Saccharomyces cerevisiae S288C: one gene and its partner. The main gene of each other region encodes a partner of the protein of the gene in region 2 in a complex. Each region holds a gene or a part of one and is shown on either strand. Other genes may lie near its edges. A codon is read from its position in the direction of its gene.

What was found. The genes of interacting proteins can lie anywhere in the genome.
Region 1: the proteins of HDA3 (region 2) and HDA2 are in contact, whole or in part, in a cryo-EM structure (PDB 6Z6O), measured with the Saccharomyces cerevisiae proteins. Residues at the interface, in NP_015505.1 of Saccharomyces cerevisiae: Tyr129 (codon at 2,084), Glu130 (codon at 2,081), Lys170 (codon at 1,961), Asn172 (codon at 1,955), Asp173 (codon at 1,952), Phe188 (codon at 1,907), Pro192 (codon at 1,895), Lys196 (codon at 1,883), Arg198 (codon at 1,877), Lys214 (codon at 1,829), Tyr218 (codon at 1,817), Gln221 (codon at 1,808), Lys223 (codon at 1,802), Arg224 (codon at 1,799), Glu225 (codon at 1,796), Lys227 (codon at 1,790); in NP_010581.3 of Saccharomyces cerevisiae: Thr62 (codon at 1,997), His63 (codon at 2,000), Gln72 (codon at 2,027), Asp93 (codon at 2,090), His94 (codon at 2,093), Tyr95 (codon at 2,096), Arg98 (codon at 2,105), Thr171 (codon at 2,324), His245 (codon at 2,546), Lys247 (codon at 2,552), His248 (codon at 2,555), Asp249 (codon at 2,558), Ile414 (codon at 3,053), Lys415 (codon at 3,056), Gln418 (codon at 3,065), Lys605 (codon at 3,626), Phe606 (codon at 3,629).

The regions. Positions count from the first base shown.
Region 1 is NC_001136.10:1,050,086-1,056,460, reverse strand, and holds HDA2 (Hda2p), read left to right. Parts: upstream 1-1,813; coding exon 1,814-3,838; downstream 3,839-6,375. Other genes in the region: mitochondrial 54S ribosomal protein mL67 MHR1, read right to left, coding at 569-1,249; sphinganine-1-phosphate aldolase DPL1, read left to right, coding at 4,233-6,002. UniProt on the Saccharomyces cerevisiae protein: Required for activity of HDA1 histone deacetylase complex. The HDA1 histone deacetylase complex is responsible for the deacetylation of lysine residues on the N-terminal part of the core histones (H2A, H2B, H3 and H4).
Region 2 is NC_001148.4:893,297-899,700, forward strand, and holds HDA3 (Hda3p), read right to left. Parts: upstream 2,469-6,404; coding exon 501-2,468; downstream 1-500. Other genes in the region: U4/U6-U5 snRNP complex subunit PRP4, read left to right, coding at 1-433; E1 ubiquitin-activating protein AOS1, read left to right, coding at 2,665-3,708; GTPase-activating protein SEC23, read right to left, coding at 4,065-6,371. UniProt on the Saccharomyces cerevisiae protein: Required for activity of HDA1 histone deacetylase complex. The HDA1 histone deacetylase complex is responsible for the deacetylation of lysine residues on the N-terminal part of the core histones (H2A, H2B, H3 and H4).

The sequences.
Region 1 (6,375 bases), on a different chromosome or scaffold from region 2:
CAAGGGAATAGAAGATATGTAAATCGTTACTTCTTTTATAATCCCAAAACACGAAACGAAAAATGCGGCAACAACAGCGCAGCAGGATGAAGAAAGAGTGAAATAAATCAAGACAATAGCAAACAAGAAATTTTTAGTAACCCAAAAAGAAATTTTTCTGTGAAAATTGGTGCGGAAAGACTAAGAAAAACCGCAGAAGCCGGAGAAAAGCGCGACTGCCCGAAGAAGGACGCGGGGTGAGGGAATAAGACAATAGGAAACAGGAGGTCGAAAAGCTTATTAAGCTGTGCAAGTGAAAAAGATAGAGAAATGACGATAAGGTGAGGAGGATAAAACGCGTTTCAAGTCACACAACAGCAGCAGTAGCAGCGGCAGCAGCAGCAGCGGCAGTAATAAAGACTAGCCCTGTGTATTCCTGTTTTGACCTATCTTCTTTTTGCGGATACCCGCACAGCACGTGTTTTTCCGTGGAACGGGATTTGGCAGAAAGGTTTGCATTGCACTATTTACATGAGCTTATATATGTTTTTTTTTCTACCTGCATTTGTATATCTAATGACGAAGCGTTCTACTGGGAAGACACTTCCGTCTGCTCTGTAGGATGTGATTCGAGCTTAGCTAGTTCCTTCAGAATAACGCTTTCTTCCCTCGCAATGTTCCCCACACGCTGAATAAGCTTGTGTTCCAGCCCCAGAGCATTGAACACATCGTAATTCCAATGTTTGTCCTTGTCACCCATCCTCCATGGGTCCTCCCAGTATATGGACGGTTTTTTGGCGGGTACTGTCTGCTTTTCTGCTGGTGTGGCATTCTCAAACACCTTCAACAAGGACTCCCGCAAGTCTGCCACTGCCTCTTGACAATATGTAGGTCTATACTGTCCGCTATACCAGACGTGCCCGTTAGAGTCCTTTTTTCTTAGCTTGTCACTCTCCTTACGCTGTGCCACATCACGGAGGTATCTCAACCGGCAGAGGTTCTGGTATAGATGGACACTCTGCTTATAGTTTTGCAAGTTCACTACACACATACATTTCCAGATGTCCCTTCTCAATGATGGCTTTCTGTTGCTCCAGTTTGGTCTCACAAACAGCTTATCCACCTGTGTTTGCGAAAAGTTGGGAAATTGAGAATATAGTACTTGTCCATACTCTAGGTTCCTAAAGATGTATACCTGGGGTGGGATTATCTTTGTCTTTTCGAACCATGAAGCGGGGCGGAATCTTGAAATTGAATGGTTTACCTTCATGCTTTTGCCCTGAAATATCGATTTTTCCGTCGCTGTTTCTCTATTTATTCCTCACAGGATCTCCTCTTTCCGTTTCCTCTACATTTCATCATATAGCCTTACTTTCACTTTTTCCTTTAGTATCTGAATATCGGAAAAGAGAATATTGTAGGAAATGTATTTTTCCCGTCTACCGTACAAAATGAGTCGTTAACTTGACAGGAATCATCAACTTTATGCACGTCTGAAATTTAACCGTGGCGTATATGGTTCATTGCTTACACGAATGTCTCCTAGTTTATATTTCCTGAGAAAGTTCTCTACAGCCCAAATAAATAGTTATATAGATATATAAGAAAAGCGACAACAAAAGAAAAAAAAAAAATACAGTCCTACTAAAATAACATAATTGCGGCACAGAAGAGTAACCACAACTAGTAGAACATCGAGAAAGGAGAGGTAACAAAAAATTTTTTTTTTTAAAAAGACAGAATTGAGAACGATTGAAGGCGTTTAAGTAGTAGTAAAAGTATTTGGCTTCATTAGTGTGTGAAAAATAAAGAAAATAGATACAATACTATCGACATGAGTAGGAAAAATTCTAAGAAACTAAAAGTCTATTACTTACCTGTAACGCTAACCCAATTTCAAAAGGATTTATCAGAAATTTTGATATCCCTGCACGCCAAGTCATTCAAAGCAAGCATAATAGGAGAACCACAGGCAGATGCAGTGAACAAGCCTTCCGGCTTACCTGCTGGCCCTGAAACACATCCGTATCCAACGCTATCACAAAGGCAATTAACCTATATCTTTGATTCAAACATAAGAGCAATAGCCAATCATCCTTCCCTTCTAGTGGACCATTATATGCCTCGACAGCTTTTGAGAATGGAGCCCACGGAAAGCTCTATTGCTGGGAGCCACAAGTTTCAAGTTCTCAACCAGCTCATTAATTCGATATGCTTTAGAGACAGAGAGGGCTCACCAAACGAAGTTATAAAATGTGCCATCATCGCACACAGCATAAAGGAATTAGATTTGCTAGAAGGTTTAATATTAGGCAAGAAATTCAGAACCAAGAGACTTTCCGGTACATCTCTTTATAATGAGAAACACAAATTCCCTAATCTACCTACGGTCGATTCCACAATAAATAAAGATGGAACACCAAATTCTGTAAGCAGCACAAGCTCTAATTCCAATTCGACCTCTTATACAGGTTATTCTAAGGACGACTATGATTACTCAGTGAAAAGAAACCTGAAAAAAAGAAAAATAAATACGGATGACTGGCTGTTTTTAGCCACTACCAAACATCTCAAACACGATCAATACCTATTGGCTAACTATGATATAGATATGATAATTAGTTTTGATCCAATGTTGGAAGTTGAATTGCCCGCTTTGCAGGTACTGAGGAATAATGCCAATAAGGATATTCCGATAATAAAGCTATTAGTACAAAATTCTCCAGATCATTACTTGTTAGATTCTGAAATCAAGAATTCAAGTGTTAAATCGTCGCATTTGAGCAATAACGGTCATGTCGATGATAGCCAAGAATATGAAGAGATCAAATCCTCCTTACTATATTTTTTGCAAGCAAGGAATGCTCCGGTGAACAACTGTGAGATTGATTATATTAAATTGGTAAAGTGTTGTTTAGAGGGGAAAGATTGCAATAACATTTTACCGGTTTTGGATTTGATAACGTTAGATGAGGCCTCCAAAGATTCGAGCGATTCTGGGTTTTGGCAGCCTCAATTAACAAAATTGCAATATTCGTCTACAGAATTGCCCCTTTGGGACGGACCATTGGATATCAAAACCTACCAAACAGAGTTAATGCATAGAGCCGTCATAAGATTGCGAGATATACAGGACGAGTATGCCAAAGGCACTGTTCCACTGTACGAGAAACGATTAAACGAAACTCAACGGCAGAACCAGTTGGACGAAATAAAGAATTCTGTTGGTCTTACATTCAAGAAAAAACAAGAAGTGGAAAAATCCATTAATGACTCTGAAAAAAGGTTGAAGCATGCGATGACAGAATCTACCAAGCTACAAAATAAAATAAATCACTTACTGAAAAATAGGCAGGAACTAGAGAATTTCAACAAATTGCCCTCGAATACTATTTCATCAGAAAATCATCTGGAAGAGGGATCTGCCTTAGCAGACAAGTTGAAGGAATACATAGACAAAAATGCGACTCTTTTTAATAAGTTAAAGGAACTCCAACAAGCAAATGCGGAAAAATCAAAGCTCAATGATGAACTACGTTCCAAATATCAAATAGAATCTTCAAAAGCCGCAGAGTCCGCGCAAACATTGAAAATTTTGCAAGAATCAATGAAGTCTTTAGAAAACGAAGTTAATGGTCCACTGACTAAATTTTCCACAGAAAGCTTGAAGAAGGAGCTGGAACGTTTACAGAATGATTTTCAGTCGCTTAAAGCAAGAAACAAATTCTTAAAGAATTACATAACCTTAATGAACCGACAGTACGACTTAAAAAACAAAAACAACGTCCAGGTGGAAAAAGCTGCCGCAAATGGTACACGGTTTAGATCAACAAGATCCAATACCCCTAATTACACATGAATGTGACGTTTCCTAAAAGAAGTAGCCTGTATAATATAGAGAGATTTTATATACTTTCTTAATGAATTAGACTGTTTCTACAAGTATTTGACACTGGAAAAAAAGAGAAAGTACATAGAGATTGGCCAAATATTTAAATCTACACAGTTGCCTATCGTTTATCGCCTTATTCTTCAGAAACATTTCATCAACTACTCTGGTGCATTATTTCATGTTAGTTACCATATATACCGGCCGGCCGCATCGGGGTTTTTTGATTGAAAAAATTGGTATATTTTCAGTACACATATAAATAAAACCCTCAATTTGCCTCTCCAACCGTTATAACTATTCCAGATCCTCTTTACCGAGCAAGTAGGCTAGCTTCTGTAAAGGGATTTTTCCATCTAATACAATGAGTGGAGTATCAAATAAAACAGTATCAATTAATGGTTGGTATGGCATGCCAATTCATTTACTAAGGGAAGAAGGCGACTTTGCCCAGTTTATGATTCTAACCATCAACGAATTAAAAATAGCCATACATGGTTACCTCAGAAATACCCCATGGTACAACATGTTGAAGGATTATTTGTTTGTGATCTTTTGTTACAAGCTAATAAGTAATTTTTTTTATCTGTTGAAAGTTTATGGGCCGGTGAGGTTAGCAGTGAGAACATACGAGCATAGTTCCAGAAGATTGTTTCGTTGGTTATTGGACTCACCATTTTTGAGGGGTACCGTAGAAAAGGAAGTCACAAAGGTCAAACAATCGATCGAAGACGAACTAATTAGATCGGACTCTCAGTTAATGAATTTCCCACAGTTGCCATCCAATGGGATACCTCAGGATGATGTTATTGAAGAGCTAAATAAATTGAACGACTTGATACCACATACCCAATGGAAGGAAGGAAAGGTCTCTGGTGCCGTTTACCACGGTGGTGATGATTTGATCCACTTACAAACAATCGCATACGAAAAATATTGCGTTGCCAATCAATTACATCCCGATGTCTTTCCTGCCGTACGTAAAATGGAATCCGAAGTGGTTTCTATGGTTTTAAGAATGTTTAATGCCCCTTCTGATACAGGTTGTGGTACCACAACTTCAGGTGGTACAGAATCCTTGCTTTTAGCATGTCTGAGCGCTAAAATGTATGCCCTTCATCATCGTGGAATCACCGAACCAGAAATAATTGCTCCCGTAACTGCACATGCTGGGTTTGACAAAGCTGCTTATTACTTTGGCATGAAGCTACGCCACGTGGAGCTAGATCCAACGACATATCAAGTGGACCTGGGAAAAGTGAAAAAATTCATCAATAAGAACACAATTTTACTGGTCGGTTCCGCTCCAAACTTTCCTCATGGTATTGCCGATGATATTGAAGGATTGGGTAAAATAGCACAAAAATATAAACTTCCTTTACACGTCGACAGTTGTCTAGGTTCCTTTATTGTTTCATTTATGGAAAAGGCTGGTTACAAAAATCTGCCATTACTTGACTTTAGAGTCCCGGGAGTCACCTCAATATCATGTGACACTCATAAATATGGATTTGCACCAAAAGGCTCGTCAGTTATAATGTATAGAAACAGCGACTTACGAATGCATCAGTATTACGTAAATCCTGCTTGGACTGGCGGGTTATATGGCTCTCCTACATTAGCAGGGTCCAGGCCTGGTGCTATTGTCGTAGGTTGTTGGGCCACTATGGTCAACATGGGTGAAAATGGGTACATTGAGTCGTGCCAAGAAATAGTCGGTGCAGCAATGAAGTTTAAAAAATACATCCAGGAAAACATTCCAGACCTGAATATAATGGGCAACCCTAGATATTCAGTCATTTCATTTTCTTCAAAGACCTTGAACATACACGAACTATCTGACAGGTTGTCCAAGAAAGGCTGGCATTTCAATGCCCTACAAAAGCCGGTTGCACTACACATGGCCTTCACGAGATTGAGCGCTCATGTTGTGGATGAGATCTGCGACATTTTACGTACTACCGTGCAAGAGTTGAAGAGCGAATCAAATTCTAAACCATCCCCAGACGGAACTAGCGCTCTATATGGTGTCGCCGGGAGCGTTAAAACTGCTGGCGTTGCAGACAAATTGATTGTGGGATTCCTAGACGCATTATACAAGTTGGGTCCAGGAGAGGATACCGCCACCAAGTAGCTATATAGAATCAAATCTCATACATAATTTAAAGAACGAGAGTGCAATGTGATGATTGTGATTCCTGATCCTATGTCACGGACGACGACTTGTATCACCTTGAATTTTCTGACCAAAGGGGCCGAGTCGCTTCACGAGGGGATGAGAAAGGAAAAGAAGGGAAAACTAAACTTATATAACGCAGGTGTGTCTTTCTACCATTGCCATCAAGTTATTAAAGGCCACGAACAGGAACGCTAGAGACCTGAGTTTGTCATTTGTTTAGTTCAAGGATTAAATAAACAATCCTTCTACAAATAAGTCCTTTCTTTCACCATCGTCTTAAGACCACTGCCTCCAACGAAAACTAACCTAAAAGAGTTTAGATCACGAG
Region 2 (6,404 bases):
TTGTAGCGGTGGCATGGACTCGCTTTCAATGCTATGGGATATAAGATCCGGAAGTAAGGTGATGACACTCGCAGGACACTCAAAGCCTATTTACACCGTAGCTTGGTCACCAAACGGGTATCAAGTAGCCACTGGTGGTGGTGATGGAATCATTAATGTTTGGGACATCAGAAAACGGGATGAAGGCCAACTAAATCAAATATTGGCGCATCGTAACATCGTTACGCAGGTAAGGTTTTCAAAGGAAGACGGCGGAAAGAAACTTGTCTCTTGTGGCTATGATAATTTGATCAATGTGTATAGTAGTGATACGTGGTTAAAAATGGGAAGTTTAGCAGGCCACACTGATAAAATTATTAGCTTGGATATTTCGAATAATTCTCATTTTTTAGTGAGCGGCGGATGGGATAGGTCTATCAAGCTCTGGAATTGATTGTGTAAAGAAATGTATTTAGTATTTTTGAAACTAACGTTTTATTAACACTGCATTATTTATTTAATTATACATTTCCTGGTTTTTTTGCCCTGGATTTTTTTTTTGTGTTACCATTTTGAGTACGAACTCGTGGAATTGTTAAGTTTTCCAAGTTGTCCATCGTCTTCGATAACTGTCCCACTAACTCCTCGTTTAGATCATTCTCAAGCTTTAATTCCTTTTTCAAAAAGCCAATTTTCTCATTCAATTCTTTTGTAGAGATTTCAGACTTTTCGAATTTCAATTTCAACTCACTTTCTAATCCATTTTGTTTCTCATTAAGTTTGTGTGTCTCCTCCTCATTTTCCCTTATAGCATCAACGGCTCTTTTGATTTCTTGTTCCATATATTTCTTCTCAGTATCCCTTGATACACTTACCCTTTCTTCTTTCTCGATCTCGTCTTGTACATTGTCTGTTTTAACGAAAGCGTCTTTTAACTTTGATAATGTTTCACCTTGGGCCATCAAACTTCCCTTTAAAGTTTCAATGTCTTTTTCCAGTGTTTCGATTTGGGAAAACTTCAAATTGTTTTCAACTTCTAGTTCATGCGACCTATTTAAGTTTTCATTATTGGTTCGCAATACGGTTTCATATTCTTTTATAATTTTCTCATCTTCATTTGAGAAAAATTTCAGATGATCATTTTGCAAATCATCAAGGCAAGAATAATCATCCAGCTCCTGTTTCTGAACGCAAATATCCATATACACTTCTCCCATTGATTGAATCAGTTTGTGTGTTATGATTCCACTTGATAAGTGGTAATTTACATTCGAGGAGTTGTCAGCTGTAGTAATACCTGTTAGTTGTGTCATGTCTTGTTTTAAAGGATTTGTATAATAATCGTTCTTTAATCTTTTGGTAGAGTAAAAACTTGGAGTAATATTATCCTCAATTCCGGCAACAGTTGAAGATGCTGCCTTATTAGCACCATGGCGTCCTCTTTTTTTGGAACAGTTGGAAAAAGCATCCTCTAGTTGATCATCTGACTTTTTGAAATGTACTTCCGTTAACAAAGACCTTTCTACATCCATGGAAGTATATTGTTTTAAAGGGTAAATATCTGGTAATGGCCACGGTACTGTTGGGTTTTCCAACCATTCTACTAAATAATGCAGCTTTTGTGAATAAATGGGCCTCAAATCAGGTGGAAGTGTGCCCAGTCGATCTCTTAAAATTACCATAGCTGCGGTAACGTTCTCCAAGTATTCTCTACTGTTCTTGTCAAATTTTTTACCAAAGAATAACCTACAATGATCAATTGAATTAATGGCCACTAGCCTAACAATTGGAGCATATCTTTCTAAACCCTTCCTCTCCCTCTTATATTGCAACAAATATTGAATATCTTTTTGACTTGTATCCACTGTAGTATCTAAGCAGATCAGCATGTCGAATCGAGCCTTGGATTTTATCGGATATTTTGTGAAATTAATTCCTTCAGAAGAAAACAAATGAACTGTACACGAGAAGTCATTTGCCTTTTGTTTTGACTTGATAGAATGACCGTCATATCTTTTGATATGCACCTTATTTCCCAATAGTAAGGCTTCCAGTAAGTCCATTGTTCTCCCAGGTCTACAAACAATGGCCGTTTCAGTTTCATATTCTTGAACAAGATTTATGAGATCTCTCAAAACGCTGAACTTTCCACTATTTTCCGCTAAATGTGCAGGAACATCACGAGTTATTAACGATTTAGGCATATAATGATCTATTAGTAGGTATGGATGGGTTGCTACCAGTGAACCATTTAAACACATGGTCTTCATAGATTCGAGAATGACGTCCTCTTTGTAGTGTGACGTTTCGAAGTATCTCAAGATATCTGAGTAGTGTAATGATACTATTTGATCCGTGAGTTCTTTTTGATAAAGCGACATTGTAGTTGGCAGCCAATAATCACCGGAAGTATTTCCTGAGATTCCCAGAGTAGTAGCATCAACAATTGTAGGTATTGGTTTCGTGTCTAAAATGCGTAGTAAATCCATACTAAAGGGCAATTAGTTTGTGCTTCTAACTTTCCTTTTTATCATTTTTATAGTCTAAAGTATTTCTTCTCTCTATTGTCTTTAATTGAAACTTTGGAAAACCGCGGTGTTATGGATACTAGAACACTAATGTTATTTTTTGCAGTTATCAATTAAAGTAAAAGAAGAACAAACTGAGTGGATTAAATCAGTAACTATGGATATGAAAGTAGAAAAATTAAGTGAAGATGAAATTGCACTGTATGATAGACAGATTCGTCTATGGGGAATGACAGCACAGGCCAATATGAGATCAGCAAAAGTATTGCTGATCAATCTTGGAGCAATTGGTTCTGAAATTACCAAAAGTATCGTCCTTAGTGGTATAGGGCATTTAACCATATTGGATGGACACATGGTGACTGAAGAAGATTTAGGATCCCAGTTCTTCATAGGCTCTGAAGATGTTGGCCAATGGAAGATTGATGCAACAAAAGAGAGAATTCAAGACTTGAACCCCCGTATAGAGTTGAACTTTGATAAGCAGGATTTGCAAGAAAAGGACGAAGAGTTCTTTCAGCAGTTTGATTTAGTCGTGGCTACAGAAATGCAGATTGATGAAGCAATCAAAATTAACACATTAACTCGAAAACTAAACATTCCATTATATGTTGCTGGTTCTAATGGATTGTTCGCTTATGTTTTTATTGATTTGATTGAATTCATTTCAGAGGATGAAAAATTGCAAAGTGTAAGACCTACCACCGTTGGTCCCATTTCAAGCAATAGGAGCATTATAGAAGTTACTACTAGAAAAGATGAAGAAGATGAAAAAAAAACATATGAACGAATCAAGACCAAGAACTGCTATAGGCCACTGAACGAAGTTTTAAGCACAGCAACATTAAAGGAAAAAATGACGCAAAGACAGTTAAAAAGAGTCACTAGTATCTTGCCGTTAACCCTGTCCTTATTGCAATATGGTCTCAACCAAAAGGGCAAGGCCATAAGCTTTGAACAAATGAAAAGAGATGCGGCCGTATGGTGTGAAAATCTGGGTGTACCAGCAACAGTGGTAAAGGACGATTACATACAACAGTTTATCAAACAGAAAGGTATCGAGTTTGCTCCTGTCGCGGCCATTATAGGGGGTGCTGTAGCGCAGGATGTCATTAACATTCTAGGTAAAAGGCTATCTCCATTAAATAATTTCATTGTTTTTGATGGTATTACATTAGACATGCCACTTTTTGAGTTTTAGATATATACATACCTACTATACTGTAGTTTCAGCCAAAAAAAATAATAAAAAAAGCATAATTGGAGGCAGTAAAGCATTATAGTCATACACAATAATAATAATAATAATAATAATAATAATAATAATAATAGTAGTAGTAGTAATGGTAATAAAAAAGTTAGAAAAGAAATTAGATACAGATATTCGTAGTAAAGGCCACGCAGTACAAAAAAGACGGAGAATATATTATATAAAATCCTCTACTCTTTTCGTTCAGGTCCAAAGGAAAATTCTTGCACGCGCAATGGACTGAACAGGCCTTATATTATACAAAAAGCCTAATAACGATCAAATAAAACAAAAGAAAGCCGTTGCTCCTATGCCTGACCAGAGACGGCTACTTGTTGTAAGTGAGTCATGAAATTTTGTAAGGAAACATCATCTGTTAAGACAATTGTAGATCCTCCGCGCGCCATGTCTTGATAGTTATCGGAAGGATTCAATTTAGATAACAAGAATCTGGCTTGAGAACCACCGGCTTCAGTATCAATGAATCTTGGTAGCGGGAACCTATCTACTAACAATTCTGCGGCTTCTAATTTTGGCTCTTCAAGAAGAGCTTTGAAATCTGCGTACTGTGGATCGTCTTGGTAACCGGCTTTTCTCCATTGAGCGATTTGCTCACCGTGGTATATTAAGATGAAGAAAAATGTATCTAATAATAGAATGGTATTGGGTTTGACGGAGATAGAGTCTAATAATACCGGTTGTGGATCGTCCTCCATTGAGAAAGAAGTTAGAGTTGGTTGAATCATGATTAAAGAATTAGTCGTATCCTCTCTTGTGAAAATATGTCTATAAAATGCAGTTTCATCCGGAGAATTGTTAAAGACACTTAAGAATTGGGATCTTCTTAAATAATAGGTAAATTGAGGATACAGTGAGAAATTTGGAGCCAACCTGAAAGATTGAGGATCATCTTTATTATAGTCGGCGTACTTTTGACATAGCTTAATCAAAGTTCTGTCTAACCATCTAATAACATCTGCACCATCATCGGTTTCAGCCTTGTGAACAGCAATACGAGCCATCAAAACGGCAGCAGCTTCTTGATCGAAAGAAGCTGCAATGGCAGGAGTACCGAAGGGCAAAAGCTGGTTTGCGACCGTGGTGACTCTGATACGGTTGGTACCAGAGGAGTGTTGATAAGTAGTGATGAATTGAGTATATGCTAGATGAGGTCTATCTGCTGAACCAGGGGCAGACATCATTGGGTTAGAATTAGCCGCAGTGTTTGCAATTTCAAAGAAAATCGCATACGAGTGATAAGGCGATAAGGAAGCCATCTTCCAGGTGGACGTTGCACCTATACCGATTTCAGATTCACTGATGTTGTTAGCGTCTGTCTTCTTTACAGCAGAAGCATGCCCAATCAAACCTTGTACCTTCAAGTCTTTACTTGTCTTGACTGCCATATTACCATTGAAAGCCATCTTCAAATACCCTTCTTCATCCTTGGCAAACAATCTCAAGTATGATTGCTTAAAAATCGCGGTAGAGAAGGCATCGGTTAGCAACAACACACCTCCAGTAGAGTCGGTCAACTGTTTCATTTCAGACATACCGATTTGATCGTAACAACCGGCAAAAATATCAACAGTGTGTCCATTGGCGGCAACTCTTTGTGCAATCTGGTTGTAAAACTTACAGGCCTTCTTGTAATGTTGCGCGTGATCAGAATCGATGTCGTGGTGGGATCTTAAGGGATCTTTTAACTCTGAGTTAACAATCAAACCTGGGGCCACGGTGCCTGGACCGGAGGCGAAAAGAATGATTCTTGCTGGGATGTTCTTATAGCAGCCCTGTAAAAGCAAAGATGCAATGTTCAAAGCGGAACCTGTGGCCCTTAATGGCCTATGACCCGCTGGAACAGACCATTGGTCTGGAGACAGATTTTCCAGTAATTGATTCAGTTTGAACTCGACCTGTTCCAAGGGCAGGAAGAACCTATTCAAAGAGAAGGGCGTAACTTTGTTCATGGCGTTCGGTAGATGAGATGCAGCACCGCCGGGGCCGGTAGGCTTTTGGCCGGTCAACATTTCCGTCAACGCTTCGAGCTGGTACTCCCTGTCTCCTCTGAACACGTTGCACCTGTCAATAGTTTCGCTGGACAGATCGTGCAATTGAACAACGTTTCCGTAAGTGATCAACCCAATCAGCGCGTTGGGAGGTAATAGAGACAAAGAAGTGATGATAGACTCCTTTAGCGAATCGAGGTTCTCGGTTTCCGAAGTCAAATCCACAACAAAGAAGAAAATGGGAGGAACGGTAACGGGCTTATTGGTGATGTACTCAATGGTGGTGGACTGTAACTCTAGCGGCATATTCTCCTGTGACAAGTTGGTGTACTGTGGAGGTAAATGGTTCCTGGAGTTACAGATGGGACAACTCCAGGACGAATTGCGCGGATCAATCACACAGTAAGGATTTAGAATCGACTTACAGTGTGGACCGGAACACACAACTGGATTGTATGGGGCAACGTTCAATTCGTCATACTCCTTCAAAGGTGTGTACAAACAGCCCACAGGGACGACGTTGCTGTTAGCGTCGCTTCTAGTAGAGGGAAACACGTTCCAGGTGAAACGGACCCCGTTGATGTCTTCATTAGTCTCGAAGTCCATGGCTAGAAAAGAGGAAGGGGAGGCAGGCGACAG